Schizosaccharomyces pombe: one gene and its partner. Changing the gene in region 2 together with the main gene of any one other region gives a genetic interaction. Each region holds a gene or a part of one and is shown on either strand. Other genes may lie near its edges. The genes, in order: alm1 and mug24.

Region 1 (10,686 bases), on a different chromosome or scaffold from region 2:
TGATGCAGTGAATCATTTTTCTTCAATTTTAATTTAGGGTTCCATTTGCTTACAGCATCTTTGAGCCTAGGGAGTATATCATCTTGTATCAAAGAATCTTTAACTTTCTCTGGAACCACAGGGTCCCATGCTTCTAAAAGTTGCAAAGCCTTAAGAGAATCCTGAATAATCCATTTCTTCAGTTCCTCACCAATTTTTTTTTTCCAAACAAACATCATAAATGACTCATAGTGTGTTAAGCTTTGACCTTCTAATTCATCATCGAATTCCACATCAATATCCATAAATGTACTACTCTCTTCTCTCTTGGGCCTAAAGTCTTTGGAATATAAAGAATTTTTCCACGAAAGAAAACTTTCTAACATAAAATATGGATGTTTCCAGACATCCCAGTTTTTTATCGGTTCTGAAAGTACAAAAGCAAGGATTGACACTGCGACCGAGTCAAGCTCAAAATGCATACTTGCCTCTGAAAATTCAACCGGTAACGTTTCAATTAAGTTATTTAACGGCTGAAGTCTTTTTTCGATAACATCAATTTCGGCCTCAGGTACTGTAAACTCCATTGACCTGGATTTTACCTCCATAACTTTACCCAAAAGCTTTTCCAAACGAGATATTTCAACCGATTTCTCGTCGAATTCCGTTGTGACCCTCTTTAATTCCATTTTAACATAGGCGCGACGGGCTTGTAATTGTTGCCATGCAGAAGCATGGTGTTCACATTCAACCCGAGCAAGCCTGGAGAGCTGGTTAATTCCAGAAGTGGACATATCACGACCTTCTAAACCCAATTCTTCTTTATTTGAAGTCACAAATTCGATTTCCTTAGTATCATTTAAGGAAGCATCAATGAGACTGGCTAAGAACCTAGGCAAGTTATAACTTCCCATATCCTTTGAAATTTCTTCAGAGGATTTTAAAGGTTTCTTCTTTTTTTCTCTTAAAGGTTTTTGTTTGACGGTATGTTTCTCATCTTCACTATCAGAGATCTCACCACGAGCAATTGCCTCTTTCCTTTGCTTTTCGGTCCGTTCTCGAACGGCTCCCAATCCGACACGTTCGGGGCGTAGCTTAGATTGTACAGGTTCAGCTATACCCTCAGCATTGGCACCCAAACCTTGTCCTTGTTTATACCCCATTTTTTCCAACATTTTTGCGCCAAATCCAGTAGTATTAAACTTCATCTTTGGAATATTTTTCGCCTGAGAAACCTCATCATTTTTATTCTTTAACTGTGGAATTGAATGCGCCTCCAATAAATCATCTGCTGTCACTTGCTTATTTGCTTTAACTTGTTCAGATTTCTCAACAAAAGAAATGTTTTTTCTACGAAGTCTAGCACTTCCAATCCCCGAGTTATGAAAACCATCTTCATCTTCTTCACCAAATATTCCTAGCATGTCCCTTTCTTTTTGCTGCCCACGAAAAGATGGACGAAGACGTCCTTCTTCCAAAATTGAATCACCATCTGAATCCTCGGAAGATGAATTCATATCGACATACTCATTTTGCATATCAACCCAAGAATTCAATATAAATAAAAACCAATGAAAACCGAAATTTTCTATTTTGGGTCAGTTCTCCAGTGGGTTAAATATGGATGTCATATAATGAGTTTTTGCGCGTTACGTTCTTAAGCTTAAGAACACGCGAAAACGTCATTATTTATTTTATCTTGTCAGCAATACTACACTACGCTATGATACACTACGTTGCGTATCACTATATGTCATATGTTGGAATACTAGCTAAGATCCGTTTATTGATAATCACGGGTAACTATCCGTCTATATACATAGTTACCCGTTGATAACAACTATTTAGAAATATTATAAATACCGTTACAACTGAACCTCGTTCCTCAGTTCAGTTATGAGCTATATTAGTGATAGGTAACATTATAACCCAGTTAATACAATACCTATACTCAGTTGCTACTTATACAACCTGTGTATTGTAATATAATAGACCACAAGGAAAACTCACCGCAGTTCTACGTATCCTTAAATCAGATACCAAACTGCGTAGCTTACATATCTGAATAAGGACATTAGTTGCGCAAAATATCTATAGCTCTTCAAAAAATATCAAAATATTAAATTACAATACAAAGCTTTTTATTATAATAAAATTAAAGTCGTTTTTTTTATTGGAAACCAGAAATAATAATTATGCAGCTAACCTATTTTATTATCTGTTTACAAACTCTTAAGAAACATTAAAAAGGGCATTATACCAAAAAATTCATATTTTACTATTTGGCTTTCTTAACATCATTGGAAACATCCATACCAGCGTCTGAACTGGACCGTTTAGGAGGAGAATTAGTGTCAACAGAGTGAGTTTTGGCGATTAACTTTTTCTCTTTAACTTGAGCTGCTGGGACTTCAGAATTGCTTTTATTGGAATCAGTGTTTTTAGAAGCTTCCAAACTTAAAATTGCAGGGCTATCTTTTTTCTTCGATTGCTCCAACTCTGCTCGCACTCTAGCTAAGTTCTTTTCCAGCATGCTCAACTTCAACTTGTTACGCATCTCGAGTTCTTTTCGGATGTTATCTAGTTGTTTTTGATGCGACTGAGCAACTTGTTCCTCAACATCCTTCTGTAAAATTTCTCTGCGCTTTTCCCATTCCTTTTGCACAAAAGTAGTAAAGTCGGCAGTGGAAGTCGAAAAGTCAGATATGGACTCGTTGAAGATTACTTGAAATGTAACTGATAACATCTCTTCTGTCTTTTTTAAGTTTTCCAAATCTTTAGTATCAGCATGTACCGAAGCGGACTCTGCTTCCTCGGATGACACAACTGTCTCTTGCAAAGCTTTCACTTGATCTTGTAAAACCTGATTTTGTTTCCTGAGTAATTCGTTTTTCTGTAGCTCTTTTGCAATTCTCGAACGTAACCTCAAAACTTCCTGTTGCATGACTTTCTTCCTTTCCATTTCTTCTTCGTTGGGTATTTCAGTATCCTTACTGGTTCCCTCAGATTTATTACTATTTTGTCTGACCTTCTCAAGCTCCTCCTTCGTAGTATTTAAGATATCCATAATTTCACTTAGCTTTCGCTGTGTAGAAGATAGTTCTTCCTTAGTGCTATTGAATTCTTCCAGTGACACCGTACTTGGTTCAGACTGTGTAGTAGCAGTGGGGGTTGCAGAAGGTTTGTTGAGTTGTTCATTGAGCTGATGACATTCCGCAACCTTGGCTTCTAATTCAGAAGTCTTTTGCGAAAGTTGTTGACGTATTTGATTGTGCTTTTCTAAGCTCTTGTTAACTACCTGCTCATATTTAGTTCGCCAAGCAGCTGCTAGTTTTGTATTCTTCAACTCTAATTGTTCAATCTTGGATTGGTTTTGCGCTCTCTCATTTTCCAAATCTTCGCTTTTTGATTTAACAGTTTCCAATTCAGATTTCAAATGACCAATTTCTTGATTTAACTCCTCTATTAAGTTTTCTTTGGAAACAAGTTCATTCTTTAAGCGTGAAGCATCACTAGACGTAGATGTGCTACTGTTCAAAGATAGTAATATTTCTTGGTTATGACGCTTGTATTCTTCGTTGCTGTTTTCAAGCTTTTTTACAGCTGCTTTCTCTGTTTGAAGCTGTGATTCTAGTTGTTCTTTATTAAGTCTAAAATTCGCCAAATCAGTTTTAAGAGTTTCTATTTTCTCTCTTAACTCTGTGATAACTTCCTCGTTCCTTTCTAAATTTTCTCGGAGAGATTTGTTGCTCTCATTTAATAAAGCAACCATGTTTAGATAATTTGAACGTTCCCCAACGGATTCAGAAGTACTGCTAACATCCTTTTCCGTTATACCTCTTTGCAGATCGGCGATAACTCGATTCGATGATTCAACGGTTCGCTTGAGTTTCTTATTTTCAAGGAATAATAATTGTCGTTGGCATGAAATAATCTCCATTTCTTTGGATATACGCTTCACATGATTCTGTAAATCTGATAATCCTAATTTCATAACAGAATCTAAATCCGGGGATGGGCTAGTTATTTCTGCAAAGTTGAGATTGGAAGATTGAAGTTGGGTTAAAAGCATTGCGTTTTGCTTTTTGAGGACATAAACTTCCTGTCTCAAAGGATCTTCTTTTTCACTAATGGGAAAGGGCTGAGATTCGTTTATACCGGCCTTTAAGGCTATTTCTTTATTCAAATCTTCAACCTGTTCTAATGCCTTCGTGTAATCCTCGCGCAGTTTTTGAAGAGTCGATCTAGCATCGGCATGTCTTAAAAGTTCCTTTTCATAATCTTCACGAGTTTTTCTTAAATCTTCAGTTACCAACAACAACTGTTGTTTATAATCATTCTCCTTCTCTAAATGTTGCTTTTCAGCATTTCGGTGTGACGAAAGCTCATTGTTAAGATGCTTATTTTCCTCTAAAAGCAAGGCAACTCTTGTTTCGCTATCTTTAGTAATATTCTCACAGCGTAAAGAAGAAGAAGCTATCTCATCTTGTAGAATAACTATCCTTTGTTCAAGAGAAGTGATTTTTAAATGATTTTTTTCCAAGGACTCTGAAGTTTGCAATCGATACTCATCATACTCAGTTTTAACTCTTTCAACCATTTCTTCGGCGAGTTTGCTTGCGGCCTGTAACTGTTCAATATTCCTTAAAGAATAATTGTATTGGGATTCTAAGGAAGTATGTTTAGATTGCAAGTCACTAAGCGATGATTCTAGCAAAGCTTCCCTTTCGCTATAGGACGTATTTTTTTGCTGTGTAAACTTGGCTTCCAAAGTAGAAAATCTTTGTTTTTCAAGTTCAATGACGCCGTTTAATTCTTGGAGTTTTATTTCCATCATTTGTTGATTATCTAACAATTTCCTGTTGTCTTCACTTAACGATTGTTTTTCGAGCATTAATGTCTTAATCCTGCTGGAGTACTCAATTCCGCTCTTTTCCAAAGATTTCTGTAGAGAATGAAGATCATTACTCATCTTTTCATTTGACTCCTTCAACTTCTGCAAGGAAAGGCTTAAGCTTTCCTTCTCAGATTCAAATTTTACTTTTCTAGCAGCATCAGATAGCTGTTGCTGGTTAAGAAAAGTTTGAAGATCTGATACAAGACTCATTAGTCTCTCGCGCTCAGCCAAAAGTTTATCGTTTTCAGATATTAAACGCTCTTGCGTCCTTTTCCGTAAATCTTTTTCACCCTTCGAAGCATTTAGTTCACCTTTTAATCTTTCAGCAAGTGAGTTAACATGTAATAATTCTTCGGCAAATTTACTGGCTCTCTGATCCTGTCGACTAATTATATCCTGTAAATTTTGATTAATACTACGAAGCTCCTTGGCTTCCTTTTTAAAGGCTTCAACGTCATTATTAGCATTAGTTAATCTATCAGTAGATAACTGCTGCTGATATTTGGAATTTTCTAACTCTTTACGTATTGCTTCCATCTCACTCAACAAATCCTGATTTCGCTTAGACAAGGATTCCTGAATAGCTGTCATTTCGTTACGATAAACTTCGTAATTTTTCTCAAGTTCTCTTGTAGATTCATCAATGGATTTCATTTTGTCATCAATATTGCCCGCGGAAGAATTGTGAGACAAAATACTGCTTCGAGAAGTAGCTAACATTTCTTTCAGTAAATTTCGTTCATTAAGTAAGGACTCATTTTTTATTTTTGACGAATTTAACTCACTTTCCAAATTTTTGATTTGCTCTGAAAGTGTATTTGAATTTTCTTTAACTGCATTGGAAATTTGATATTGGACAGTTTGCTTTTGGATTTCAACATCGCATTCAAGGGCCCGCACTTTTTCCCGCAGTTCTAGAGTTTTCGAAACAGCTTCCTTTATAGATGAAAAATTAGCAAGCTCCTTGTTTACTAGTGTCTCAGATGCAGTAGAGGGATTTTGAGCGTATTCATCAAGCGCAACTTGCACAGTAGCGGGAACGTTTCTTGATTTAGTTTCATTCAAATGATCAAGTTCGGCCATGAGACAAATAACTTCTCGAGAAAGATCACTGCATTGAGTACGAGATGCGGTGAGCTGCAAGTAACAAGCTTCTTGGCGCATTTTGGTCGATAAAAGCTCTGCTTGTACTTTGGTTAGGTTGTTGTTAGATGTTTCCAAAGATTCGCTAAGAAAATTCATATAAATGTTATTCCTAACGATTTCACTCCTCTGTTGTTTGACAACTGGAATCCTTTGTTTAACTTGTTCACAAAATGAGGAGAATTTGTTAGTCAAGCGGTCTAGCTGAAGCTTTAAGCTAGAAACCTTCTGTTGGAGTTTCATATTGTCCGAATATACTTTCGTAAATGAAAATTCGGGATTTTGAACGGCGCTTAACTTTTGCGCCAAAGGAGAAAACAAACCTACACCAGCTGAAACAGAGGTATTTTTATTTTCTTTAACCACTTGTAGTTCACTAACTACACTATCATATTTCTCTTGCAGTTCCCGCAAACTATTCTCCGAAATCAATAGCTGTTGCTTGTTATTATTTAACTCTTCGGTCACATTATTGTATAGACTTTGTTGCGAAGTGAGCTTTTCTTGAAGTGCAGCAACCTCTGATTGCAACTCTGAAGATTTAGACTCCCAAAGAGCTGTAAGTCGTTTCTGAGTTTCCACTTCTTCTTCAAGTTCTTTGATTGAAGTGGGGTCGGTTTCAAGGATTTTTGATATGTTCCCATCGGAGGAATAATTGCTCCGCTTTTGCTCAAAAAGCTGTATTTTTTCGTTAAGCTCTGTATTCTGTTGGGCAAGCCCAGCAAGCTTTTTCTCCAAATCTTGAACTTGACGAGATGAAACTTCTAATTTTTCGCAAACTTTCGAATGATCTGATTGCAAACTAGCCAAATCAGAGACTAAAGCGCTTTTCTCCTGAACGAGTATCTCTTCCTTGACACGACTGCTACTGCTAGCAAACATGTGCTGTTTCTTTCTTTCTTCAATATCAGACAATGCTTGATGCGCACTCTGGACTTGCTCTCCTAAATGTGAATTTTCATTTTGTAGGGCTTCGATTTGATCTTTCGCGATTGAAAGCTGCTCAGAAGCAATCTTAGATTGCTCTTGTAATTCAGAGTTAGCCCTTCTAAGCGACTGGTTCTCAGTAGTCAATGCATCAAAGCGCTTATTTTGATTCTCCAAGTTGGTTTTCAGCGATTCGTTCTCATTTCTCAATACCGATATAAGATTACGTGATTCCTCTGCTTGATTATTAGAAGATTGAAGTTGTTGCTCAAGAAAGTTAATCTTCTTCGTAAGAACATTCTCCTTATGCTCATGGTTGACTTCTTGAAGGACAAGCTGATCCTTTAAAGCGTTTATGTCTTTAACCTTGGTTTTAATAGCAGATATAAATACAGCGAAACCATTGACAGACACCAGGGGTTTTATATCCTCAAAAGATACATCCAAAAACTCGTGTACCAGCTGAATATCATCTTCAAGTCCCCCCGAAGACATTTTCTAGCCTGGAATCAACGTTCGATGACTTATGAAGCACCAGTGTACGTATACGAGAAGTAAGTGATCAACCTCGATGTACAGAAATAATACCACGTTAGAAGAAATGCGACAATTACGTTGAGAAAAACAAATGAAGCAAATTTAAAAATTGTAATTACCGTGAGTATTAAAAAAAAAGCTAAATTTCTGTATTCTTCTCTATCACGCCTTGAACGTATCTTGAGTAGCAGTGCACTATTCGGACCTGTCGTCCACACAACACCAATTTTGGTGACTTTACTAATTATTTAATCAAATATCATCCTAGTGATGTTTGGACAAAACAATTCTTCCGGATTTGGAGGAGGAACCGGTGCTTTCGGTCAAAATAATCAACAAACTGGTGGGTTATTTGGTTCCAACTCCAATACTCCAGGGAACACTTTGTTTGGTTCCCAAAACACTTCTACAACTGGCTTTGGGCAGAACACTACTCAACCCTTGTTTGGATCAAATACGAACGGTGGACTATTTGGAAATAGAAACAACACTACCACGACTGGTGGCACAGGTTTTGGAATGTCCTCTGGGACAGGTATGTTTGGCCAATCCAATACTCCTGCTTTTGGAGGCACGAACAACGCCACAAATCCTAGTGGTGGTGGCCTCTTTGGATCAAATACCGCCAACAACAATGCAAATACTGGAACGTCATTTTCTTTTGGATCGAACGCTGGTTCAACAGGGTTCGGTAACACTGCATCGAATACTGGTACCGGTGGTGGCTTGTTTGGTTCTCAAAATAACGCTGGCAATACTGCTGGAAATACAGGTTTGGTTCGCAAGGTACTGGTGGTGGCTTGTTTGGTTCGTCCACTACACCCGCTACGACCAACGCTTTCGGAACCTCTGGATTTGTCTCAAGCAATGCAAACGCTGTGAATGGTACAGCTAACCCACCTTATGCGGTAACTTCTGAAAAAGACCCTCAAACAAACGGTACTAGTGTCTTCCAGTCTATAACTTGTATGCCCGCTTATAGATCTTATTCATTTGAAGAGTTGCGTTTACAAGACTATAATCAAGGACGACGTTTTGGCAATGCTTCTAGTACGAACACTACTTCTGCATTTGGTTCAACACCCGCATTTGGAGCTTCAACTACTCCGTTTGGTCAGAATTTGTCAGGTACCACAAATAATGCAACACCGTTTGGTACATCGAATGCTACTAATACCACTCCTGGTTCCGGTCTCTTTGGCGGTGGATCTGCATTTGGTAGTAACACTACCAATACAGGGTTTGGTTCTGGAACAAATAATGCATCCGGTGGGTTATTTGGTCAAAACAATAATACCACCTCAACTCCTTCAACCGGTCTTTTTGGTGGCTCTACATTTAATCAACAAAAACCAGCTTTTTCAGGTTTTGGCTCAACCACTAACACTACCAATACTGGTACAGGAACGGGTCTTTTTGGTTCAAATAACGCAACCAATACAGGAACAGGTCAAACTACGGGTGGCTTATTTGGTGGTGCTGCCACTGGTACGGGTACGGGATTTGGTTCTTCTACTGGGGGGTTTGGAAGCAACACGAATAACCAACCCAATTCAGGTACCATGGGTACAGGTTTGTTTGGTTTTGGCGCTAATAATAATACGGCAAATAATAACACCGCTCCAACATCTACTTTTGGTGGTAACAATAGTAGTAATTTTTCCTTTGGTGCCAATAATAATGCAGCCACTAAGCCTTCTGGATTCGGTTTTGGTTCCACGACCACTACTCCTGCCAGCGGAGGTTTTTCTTTTGGGCAAAATGCTAATAATGCTCCCAAGCCAGCTTTTGGATCCACTGCTACCACTGCTCCTAAACCAGCAGGGACAGGTTTGTTTGGTGGTTTAGGAGCCGGTGCTAATACCAACACAGCTACTAATGCTACCGGCACTGGCGGAAGTTTATTCGGAAATGCGAACACTGCGGGTTCTAACATGTTTGGATCAGCCAACTCCAGTACTCCTGGTACCGGTTTATTTGGCTCTACGCAAACGAATAATGCTACTTCCAATACCGGAACCGGGCTCTTTGGATCCAATAATGCAAACACAACCAATACCGGTGGTAGTTTGTTTAATAAGCCTTCTACTACAACTGGTGGTTTGTTTGGTAACACAACTGCTCAACAACCATCTACAACTACATCTGGATTATTTGGGGCTTCTAATACTAACAACCAAGCACAAACTTCAAATTTTGGTACTGGGTTATTTGGTGGATCTCAAGCTGGACAACAGCAACAACCATTACAGGCCAGTATAGACCAAAACCCTTACGGCAATAATCCCTTATTTTCAAGCACAACTTCACAAGTTGCACCAACTAGTATTCAGGAACCGATAGCTTCACCGTTGACTTCTAAACCGACTCCCAAAAAGGCAGCTTCTCTACCACAATTTTGGTTGTCACCTCGTTCGCATAATACTGCACGTTTGGCTTCTATTTCCTCTTTTGCCAAATCGGCTGTAATGAATTCAACAAGTGCTTCTGGTAAACCGAAATCACTACACCTGTTTGATTCGCTTAACGATGATGTGTTGCTGAGCGCCGATGCTTTTACTCCGAGACAAAACATAAAAAAGCTGGTTATTACCCACAAAATCTCCAAAGATGATATCCTGCAAAATGGTGTGAAAAATGGCAACGATGCCAAATCAGACTCAAAAGTACAAGAAAAAGCACCTCAAAATGAAGCAGATGGCTCTTTAAAGAAAGACGAACATGTAGTTCTATCTGACGATTACTGGATGAAACCCTCAATTGAGGAGCTTTCTAAGTATCCTAAAGAAAAATTATGTTCTGTCCATCAATTCTCTGTCGGTCGCACTGGCTATGGCCAAGTTGCATTTTTAAAACCCGTCGATTTGAGTGGATTCGAAAAGCTTGAAGACATACCTGGCAAGGTCGTTGTTTTTGAGAGAAAGATTTGCGCCGTATATCCTGTTGAGGGATCAAGTCCTCCTTTGGGTGAAGGCCTTAATGTTCCTGCCATAATTACACTTGAAAAAACCTGGCCATTATCTCGAGAGACTCGAGAGCCTATTAAGGATCCTCAGAACCCTAGATACATTCAACATGTAAAGAGACTTCATCGTATTAAAGATACCGAATTTATTGACTTTAATGACGGAAAATGGATCTTCAAGGTTCAGCATTTCTCTAGATACGGTTTGCTGGATGATGAAGAGGAAGAAAACGATATG
Region 2 (9,151 bases):
CTTTAAGGTGAAAAAGTGTCAAACTATTCTTACCCTTGTGGAAAGACTGCTAAATCCACGAAATAAATTATCTCCTGTTTGACCCGTAGCTGGTCTTGTGGTAGAAGATGCTAACATGGTCATTTTAGTTATTTCACGAACCCTAATATAAGTTAGAAAAAACCAATAACATCAATCAGTATACCTCTTAACAAAATTTAATGCTTCTAATGTACAGCCATTGTTAACCAACGCCTCTTCATATGCCTGCAAATCAGAAGCCGGTACGGAATCAACACTTAAATACCAAATTATAAAAAATCGTAGCTTGTCTTCGGGAGTTCCTTGTTCCTTGTTATTGATGCAAGCGAGAATGGCACTTCTGTTTAGTCCAGTTATATTATCTTCTAACTGAAAAAAGTCATCTAAATGGCGCTCTTGAATAGCTTTTAATAATGCAGTTGCTATATTCATATGCATGTCAAGGATTTGTTTACGAGCTGTAAGCTCTGGGAGCAAGCTAACTGCACTTTTTAAATAAGTCGAATCAGCAAATGCGTCAACATTAACTTCTTCAAGTGAAGAAACACCGGATTTTCGGGTAATTTCACTAGCATCATTTTTATATCGAGTCAACTCTTCATCAATGTTTTCGGCAACTTTAGGAAATGGTTTGCTAGCATTACTTTCCCAGAAAAAATCATTTCCATCTAAATCGTAAAACCGCTTTGTCATTTTTCCATCATCGACTGACTCTACGGTAATCCTATTGAGTTGCATATTTAGGGTATCATGAATCAAAGCTTGGTAAGTCCAAGAATGATTTATCATTGGAATCAAATCGACCGTTCTATCCAGTAAAATAAGAATTGGCCTTGGTTTTGGATTAACAGAAACAAAAGCATCCTTGGTATTCATTAAATGGTCCTTTAGACGTTGATTCAACTTTTGGGCAACCATCTCAGCAGCCGATCCTTGTGGGCAACGAATGATAGGAATGGTTCCGAGTGTAACGATCACTGAAAAGAGACCATTTACAATATCCTGAACGCGTGAATTAATGAGAGCCTCATCTGAAGACGGGTTATGGAACGTATGAAAGATTTTGGGCAGTTGAAGAGAAAAAAAATCACTTTCTAACACAACATAATTAAGATACTGGTCATACACTTGATGAATCATGTGACTTGTATTTGTTTTCGACGCCAATTCGGCAAACTGTTCCAGAAGAGCACGAGAAATGGTAGATGAAAAACAGACATAGGCTGATTCGTAAAGACCCTTCGAAAGATCCTTTAAAATATGTTAGCTTGCTGAACTGTAATACAAAAAAGTATTTGGTATCCGACAATAAGATTAATTGATTGAAAATTATGATACTGAGAAATCCATACCTCTATTATTAGCTCAATGTTTTCTTGAGTAGGTTGAACAAAGTAAATAGCTGGGACATCAGCAATAGGCTGACGAAACGAAGTGATATTCATGTGAACCGTAACGCCATGTTTTCTGAGATCACTAATTCTGAGAACAGAAGAAATAGTCTCCGACCCTGCCTTATCGAAGATTAAAACTTTCCAAATGGGAAAATTAGAGGCATGTTGAGGGCTTGATTCAAGTTCGTTGACGTCTTGGTTCAAATTAAGCAGTTTTTCTAAAGATTCTAAAGGTTCATATTAGCAATGCTTACTGAGAATTATACAGTTTTATTAGCAACACTACTTACGAATTTGAGCTTCTCTCAAAGAAGACGGTGTTTTTACAGATGCAATAGACATCGTGCCAATTCCAACTTTGGCACTAATATAAGCACTTAGAAGGATGATTTGTGTTGAGGGATAAACATAAGAATCATACCCTTCATATGGTGGTGTATGGCAGTGAAGCGAGTCTCGCTAAATGTTCAAAAAGGTAAACAACAAAATAAATATTGAGGTTTGGCTGTTTTACCAAATCTTGTAGTCTTCAATCTTTACTAAAGATTTCTGATTTTCATTAAATTTTTAGATATTTAAAAAAACAGTACTAGTGCACCGGAAACATTCAAAGCGTAGGAAGGAAATCAATCTTGCGTTCAGTAGTTTACTTTTCTAAGATTTAATCTCAGCTTTCTAACTGTGCTTACATTACATATATTTCTAAGAGGTGTTCTTACTTTACTATTTACTTATAAAGATACAATTATTAAAAGAGTATCCAAACGCAAAAAGCTCTTAATTATGAATTTAGCCATTAATGATTTGCATATTCTAAGTGTCTAGGATCATATACGATGGCTAAAGTTGCTCATGGGATCAAATAAGTAGAAGGCATGTCTTCGTTTATTTTTTTAGACTGAATTAAACAAAATATGAAATTATTCATTGATCATTATGATGATAATGATACCGTAGACCTAATCATCGTAATAGTAATTAATTAACAGCAATGATGGATGGAAAATATAATTAAACAATGTATTGATGGAAGGAATTGGGCAAAGTAAACCGAAAATATGACAAAGAAGGTGTCGGACTCGAATAATGATAATGATAAAACAAAAATCTCAAAAAAAACGGAATAAGGACAAGGATAGTGATGACAAAATGAAATGACAGAACGATTATGATAACAAAAAACGGTAGTAAGCAAAGTGTTGGGAGTAACGTCAATAATTGAGCTTTGAAAGAAAAGAAAATGGTGAGTACGTTAATCCTAGAATAGTAAAAGCAAGAATAAGCGATAAATATGGAAGCTCAAGAAAAAAATAAAATTAGTGTGATCAAGCTGAATGCTATCAAGAAAGCAAATGGTAAACGAACTGGTGATGGGGTCGATGGAATGATAGAATGAAGATAGTCAATTAATTGGTTGTGAACAAAGGATAATAGTGATCATGACGAGGAACAATAACAATGATTCTGGAAAGCTGAGCTGTAATCAAACGGGAGAAATAGTAAAGAATTCGTCAGTGGATAGTACAATGATAATGTGTATAAGTGAGAATAGTTGGTTTAATGATAGCAAGCTGGAAAAATGCAAAATTGGCTGGTGGGTTAGCTTAAAACCGGCATCAACGGAAACAGTAGCAAATGGGAAAATATTGTGGTAATAGTAAAAAATGGATAATGGTAAATGAACAAACTACCCATGAAGTAACGGATCGAGAAGGGTTCATGAATTCATCAGCAAGAAGTAAGTAATCTTTAATAGGTAAGAAAAGTAAAAGTTCACAGACCGGCTTCTCTTAGTGATAGAAGAATGGTTTGAAAAACTAATTGACACATTGAATGAATAAAACTCTGCTCAGAAGGTTGAAGGTAATTTTTCTTTAAAGACAAAAAATTACATAATTTAAAAGAAGACATTGGAAATCACGGAAGAGTAGTAATGTGACAAAGCAAAAAAATTTCAAATTTGGGTGGGAAACAATCAAAACGTGTAAAAACGATAAATCAAAAACTTTCAGTAATAAGGTTTAATTAGAGTCAAGAATAAAAAGAGTTTTTTTTCTGAATTTTTTCTTTTTCAATTTTTTTTGGAATTTTAGATTTTTTTAAGGCAATGTTTAGTTAGGTTTGGACAATTTTCAAGTTTTTTTCAGAGGAGTTAGTGTTAAGTTTTTGGGAGTCTCTGTTACAAACTAAATTTGCATGCTGAGTGAATACCCGTAGAATTGAGAATAAGCAAAAATAAATGGAAACATACTGACTTGCTGATGAACAAAAGTTACTTCGCGAGTATTGGAACTAGTCGTTTTCGTGGTCGGATGTTTGAGGATAGTTCGGAACATTGCAGTTGAAAGGAAAAGAGGGAACGGCTGTAAAGGGGATAAAGGGCTGATACTGGATACCAAAATTTAATATTGGATCCGAACCTGGAGGAATTGCTGGACAATAAGCTACAGGATATGAAAACGGTGGAGTAATAAATTGCTGCAATGGAACATTCTGTTGGATAGGAGAGTTGGATTTAGACTTTTGAAGCTCTTGTTCGCATCTATCAGGAGCATAGCGGATTTTGCTCTTCTTGAACAAAGGATGTATAGGCAAGCCATTGACAGCCTTCATGGCATTAGATATATTTGTATAGGCAACGAATCCAGAACTTCTATTTTTTAAATATTTAATTGATTCAATCTCTCCATACTGACGCAGTATGAGCTCTAACTCTTCGGTAGTAAGTGAATCTGATATATGGCTGAAGTAAACATTTCTGGAAGCGCCCATCAATATAGAATCTTCTAAAACTCTGGGCAAAGGTCCACTTTCTTTACCCCATCCTACTTTAATTCTTCGACCGTGTAATAAAACTTCTTCCTCAGCCAAGTAGTCGTGGAAAGCGTTGGCGGCCGAATACGTTATAAATGTAACGAAGCATATATGTTTTTCAGGAATATAGTGGAAGTCTTGTAACCCTCCATGTCGGATTAGATCGCATATTTCATGTCCTTTAGTCTTAGTATGGAGATTGCCAAGGAAGACAGTACGGTTTCCATTGTCTTTTGATTCCTGCTGCCTGCAACGGTCAGACGTGGTATCCGGATTTTGCTTGGAAGTGAAACATGACCTTTCATCAAATGAAGGTGGATGATTTGCACAGCGATCTGAGCCAAAAAATATTCGCCATGAGTGATAGTCAGGATCGCAAGATAAGGTACGAACAACCTTGATTGCGTCGCGGATGTTCAAAAAGTGAACAAAAGCAATATTCTTTTTCGAGAGGATTTTTATGTGCTCAATCTTGCCGAATTTACCAAACGCTTCTTCAATTTCCTTCTCGTGATAAGAAGAAGGAAGATTGCCGATGAACACATTACGGCTGGCCGCAGTGTTCGAGCAAAAATTTTGAATCGATTCAGGTAAAGGAGAAGGTCTAGCAAATGTCAATTTGAGTGGCCTACCATGAAAAATGAATCCACGAGGATGGTACCTTTCATAAAAGAAAAAGGCATCAGCAGAATCAAGAAATGTAATTATAATCCTGCGTTTTCCAGGGTTGGACTGAATCTTCTCTAATGGTCCAGAGTGGATAAGCGAAAGTAATTCGGAAATTTTGTAGTCAACTGGCAAGTTACCAAGGATTAAAGCACGAAAATCTAACAAGGATTCGTATTCTGAATTGAATGGTGAAAATTGCTCCGCAGGTTGTTGGGCAAACGGAGGAGGAGTACCTTCTCGAGGTAGGAAATTTGGACGGTTTACAGGTTTTGCATGATACATATTGTCGGTATAGTGGGCATAGGGCATCGGTATGAAGGTGTTTGCTGAAACATACATGTTGGGGTAATAGGTTGAAGGTGGAGAAGGATAAATGACTGAAGAAGAGTCCTGGTCAAAATGAGGATAACAAGGAGAATCGAGTTGTTCGGGAGGGGGATTCATTGATTTAGGAGCATACCCATTATGAGATTTCGGAATAAATTCTGCGGCATTGATGTTTACATGGAAAGAAGGATTAGGTGAAAGATTTTTGTGCTTTTTACCACCACAGTCAAGGTTGGTACATTCATTATTGTCCACTGAATTAAGACTACTGTTATCATCTTCTGAATCATTTAAAGTGCAAATGCTGTTGGCCGTGCCAGTACTTCCTGTCTCTTGAAAGCAGCAATCACTATCAACGAAGTGACCGTTGTTTGCTTGGTCTTTTTCAAGAACACGGTCGGTCTCAACTTCACTTCCGGCACAGCCAATTTTGTGCATAATAGCCATTATAGTGTTAAAAAAAAAGAATTGAGTGAGAATATGGATGCTTCAAAATATAGAGTGCTTTAGACTGATGAGTTTCGCTTCAAAATTAGTATCGATTTAAATGCTGTATTCGATGGTCAAAACTGGTGAGAGGGACACTTATTTATAGATAAAAAAAATCATATCGTGTCAAGTTTTCGTAACAGCTAAGCACCATTTCAAATGTAAACATTGCTATTTTCGCAAGCATTCCCCGCAAAGCTGTCCCACATTTCTTAAATAGAAGGACGAATCAAAAGGCACAAAGTTGCAACTCTAAAACGTCAGGATGGCCCACAAACGACGAATGCGACGGTAAATCCGCTGCCACTCTTCGCTAAAGTCGACGTAATGTACTTATTTTAGCGAGGCTTAATAGTTAAAATTACTTACGTCCAATCATAGTTGTCCCTTTAAGTTATTCGGTTCTTATTATGACTGCACAGTGACTACCACCAATTCCTCGCGAATAGTACAGTCATGATAAAGGGCTGGTAGACAGCCATTTCTAAGCCTTGAAATTACCTTTAATAAAAACCTCGAGAGCCAATAGACTTTTTGGGTGCAAGATTTACGATTAGCCAGCCTTCCCCCGCCTTTTAAACTGCCAGAGCAAAATTAAGAGTAGATAGGTATCCCCCATATCCCTTATACCGAGCAATGCAAATACTGATCCAAGGCAACAATACCATCAACCTTACGAAGAGTACTCAAAAATATTGTTAAAGAATTACGTATACTGTGTTAGATGCTTCAAATTGCCCGTCCACTTCTAGCATGATTGTTGCTGTTTTGAAGTTATCGACATTGTGGTTCATAAGGTTTTAGCTTCATAAAGCCTATTATATAATGTGATGCGTTTCGTTAGATAGTAAAAAAGTTCGGCTAGGGCTATACTTAATGCTTATTCATAAATTGGTGTAGACTGTATTCTGTCACAATGATGTACGTTGAGGCTTGATCTGATAAAAAAATTTGGAAAGAAAATAACGATGTCAGTAAGTTAAAAGTAGTTAAATTTGAAGTTCTTCTGAATATTTCAACCATTAATTAAAAATATTAATTTTAAAAAATAGAAGTCTTTAATGAGTTTATCATTTCTAGGCCGTTAGCGAAAGTCAGAGTTTGAAGGTGTGTTATGCAATTAAATATTGTAACTTTTGCTTGAAAGCCTCTTCAAATAAAAAGGATTTGTTACGTGTTTCTTTAAAACTTTTCGAAGGTTCCAGATACTAGGTTATTGCATTCAAGCTCATCAATTTTAGATTTGTATACCCAACATTGCCAGTCAACATCAAGTTCAGCCGCCTTTTATCTATATTTTAAGAAGACCCTTTACAAGTTGTTACTATGCCGTTGAAATTTGTAAAGCTTTCAATACAAGTAAGTACATTATTTGTTCCTCTATCGTGGCCGATGAAGGATGTATGCCTTAAGCTACGATCTTGTAAGGAGGTTAAGACTCTTAACAAAAAAAAAAGTTGAAACAAAATATACAAAATTCATACTGATTTTCTGCTTTCGAAAGGCTCCGTAAGTGGGGTAGTTTGGTACCGTATAGGAGGTATTCTTACCTCACCATTGTCACTCTTAACCTCTACACCACTTAACCTCAGTCAAACCAAATTAGCAATTGAAGCAGTAACAATTTAAAATTATCAAGTTACTTTTACCTAAAGTTTTATTAATCAAACTGGCATTTCTTTTTTGATTTTTTTGTAATGGTTCTACGTTACAACAGCCCACGCCTCAATATTCTTGAGCTGGTCCTTCTATATGTCGGATTTTTTAGTATTGGGTCCTTGAACTTACTGCAGAAAAGGAAAGCTACTTCTGATCCTTATCGTAGGAAAAATCGCTTCGGCAAAGAACCTATAGGAATAATTTCCTGGTGGATATTGGGAATTGCATTAACCTACGTACGTATTTCAAGCATTTTTCTTAAAAAATATATATATATATATATATAAGTATATTTTGAAAGAAAAATGTTTATGTTTAATTGTTTAACCTCGCTTCATATTGCTAATTTCATTTTTAGGTCGTTGATATCAGCAATCTTGTCATCTACGCATTGCGAGTTCCAAATTGGTGGCCCTGTAAAACCACTGTTGTCTGTTTAATTCTCTTCCTTTTATTTTGGATAATTGTACTTATCTCATGCGCAGATTCTAAAGCTCTTCCAAAAAATGCGGATTCCATACTAAAGGCCTACCGCCTTAGCGTCTTGTACGTTTGGGCTATAGACATTGTATTTGAAACAATTTTCATTGTCTACAGTCCTCATCCAAATGAAACATTTCAAGGAATTGTATTGGCGGACCATGTAGCCCGATTGGTCTTATGTGTTTTCGCTACAGCTATATATCTAACTTATAGACGAAAGAGACATACGCACGATCCCCTGGATTTTGAGGAGCGTCAATTAACAGAAGAGTCAAACGTTAATGAGAATGCTATCTCTCAAAATCCCTCGACCGTTCAGCTCGGTGTATCGGCATCAACCTCGAATTTTGGTACACTCAAATCAACATCGAAAAAACCTAGTGATAAATCTTGGGCAGAATATTTCCGTTCTTTCTCTACTTTACTTCCCTATCTCTGGCCGACAAAAGATTACCGACTTCAGTTTCAGATTTTCATTTGCATAGTTTTACTCTTTTTGGGGCGAGCTGTTAACATACTTGCTCCCCGACAACTGGGTGTGTTAACTGAAAAGCTCACAAAACATAGTGAGAAAATTCCTTGGTCTGATGTTATTCTATTCGTTATCTATCGTTTTTTGCAAGGAAATATGGGAGTAATTGGTTCTCTTCGATCTTTCTTATGGGTTCCTGTCTCTCAATATGCTTATAGAGCGATATCAACTAAGGCTTTGAGACATGTTCTAAACCTGTCATACGATTTTCATTTGAATAAACGTGCTGGTGAGGTTTTGACCGCCTTAACTAAAGGAAGTTCGTTGAATACGTTTGCAGAACAAGTTGTGTTTCAGATTGGGCCTGTTTTGTTGGATTTGGGAGTAGCCATGGTATACTTTTTTATTAAGTTTGACATTTATTTTACGCTTATTGTGTTAATTATGACACTTTGTTACTGTTACGTTACGGTCAAAATTACATCTTGGCGTACCGAGGCTAGAAGAAAGATGGTTAATAGCTGGCGCGAGAGTTATGCTGTGCAAAATGACGCGATTATGAATTTCGAAACCGTTAAAAATTTTGATGCAGATGACTTTGAAAATGAACGATACGGTCATGCTGTGGATATTTATCTTAAGCAAGAGCGGAAGGTACTATTTAGCCTTAATTTTTTAAATATCGTTCAAGGTGGAATATTTACATTCAGCTTGGCAATTGCTTGTCTATTAAGTGCTTATAGAGTAACATTCGGCTTTAACACTGTCGGTGATTTTGTCATACTTTTGACATACATGATTCAGCTACAGCAGCCTCTTAATT

Evidence for each region.
Region 1: mutations in mug24 (region 2) and alm1 are lethal when combined (synthetic lethality), as found in Schizosaccharomyces pombe (one study listed by BioGRID).

What each region holds. Positions count from the first base shown.
Region 1 is NC_003424.3:3,189,275-3,199,960, forward strand, and holds alm1 (nucleoporin Alm1), read right to left. Parts: upstream 7,494-10,686; 5' UTR 7,442-7,493; coding exon 2,258-7,441; 3' UTR 2,173-2,257; downstream 1-2,172. Other genes in the region: ntr1 (RNA-binding splicing factor), read right to left, coding at 1-1,517. UniProt on the Schizosaccharomyces pombe protein: Maintains the proteasome and its anchor cut8 at the nucleus envelope and is required for kinetochore component proteostasis. Proper kinetochore stoichiometry ensures the correct attachment of kinetochores to spindle microtubules during cytokinesis.
Region 2 is NC_003421.2:1,915,803-1,924,953, reverse strand, and holds mug24 (rrm type RNA-binding protein), read right to left. Parts: upstream 5,673-9,151; coding exon 3,708-5,672; 3' UTR 2,221-3,707; downstream 1-2,220. Other genes in the region: SNARE-binding protein Sly1, read right to left, coding at 34-142, 185-1,272, 1,374-1,642, 1,706-1,757; vacuolar phytochelatin and glutathione S-conjugate ABC family transmembrane transporter Hmt1, read left to right, coding at 7,412-7,609, 7,732-9,151. UniProt on the Schizosaccharomyces pombe protein: Has a role in meiosis.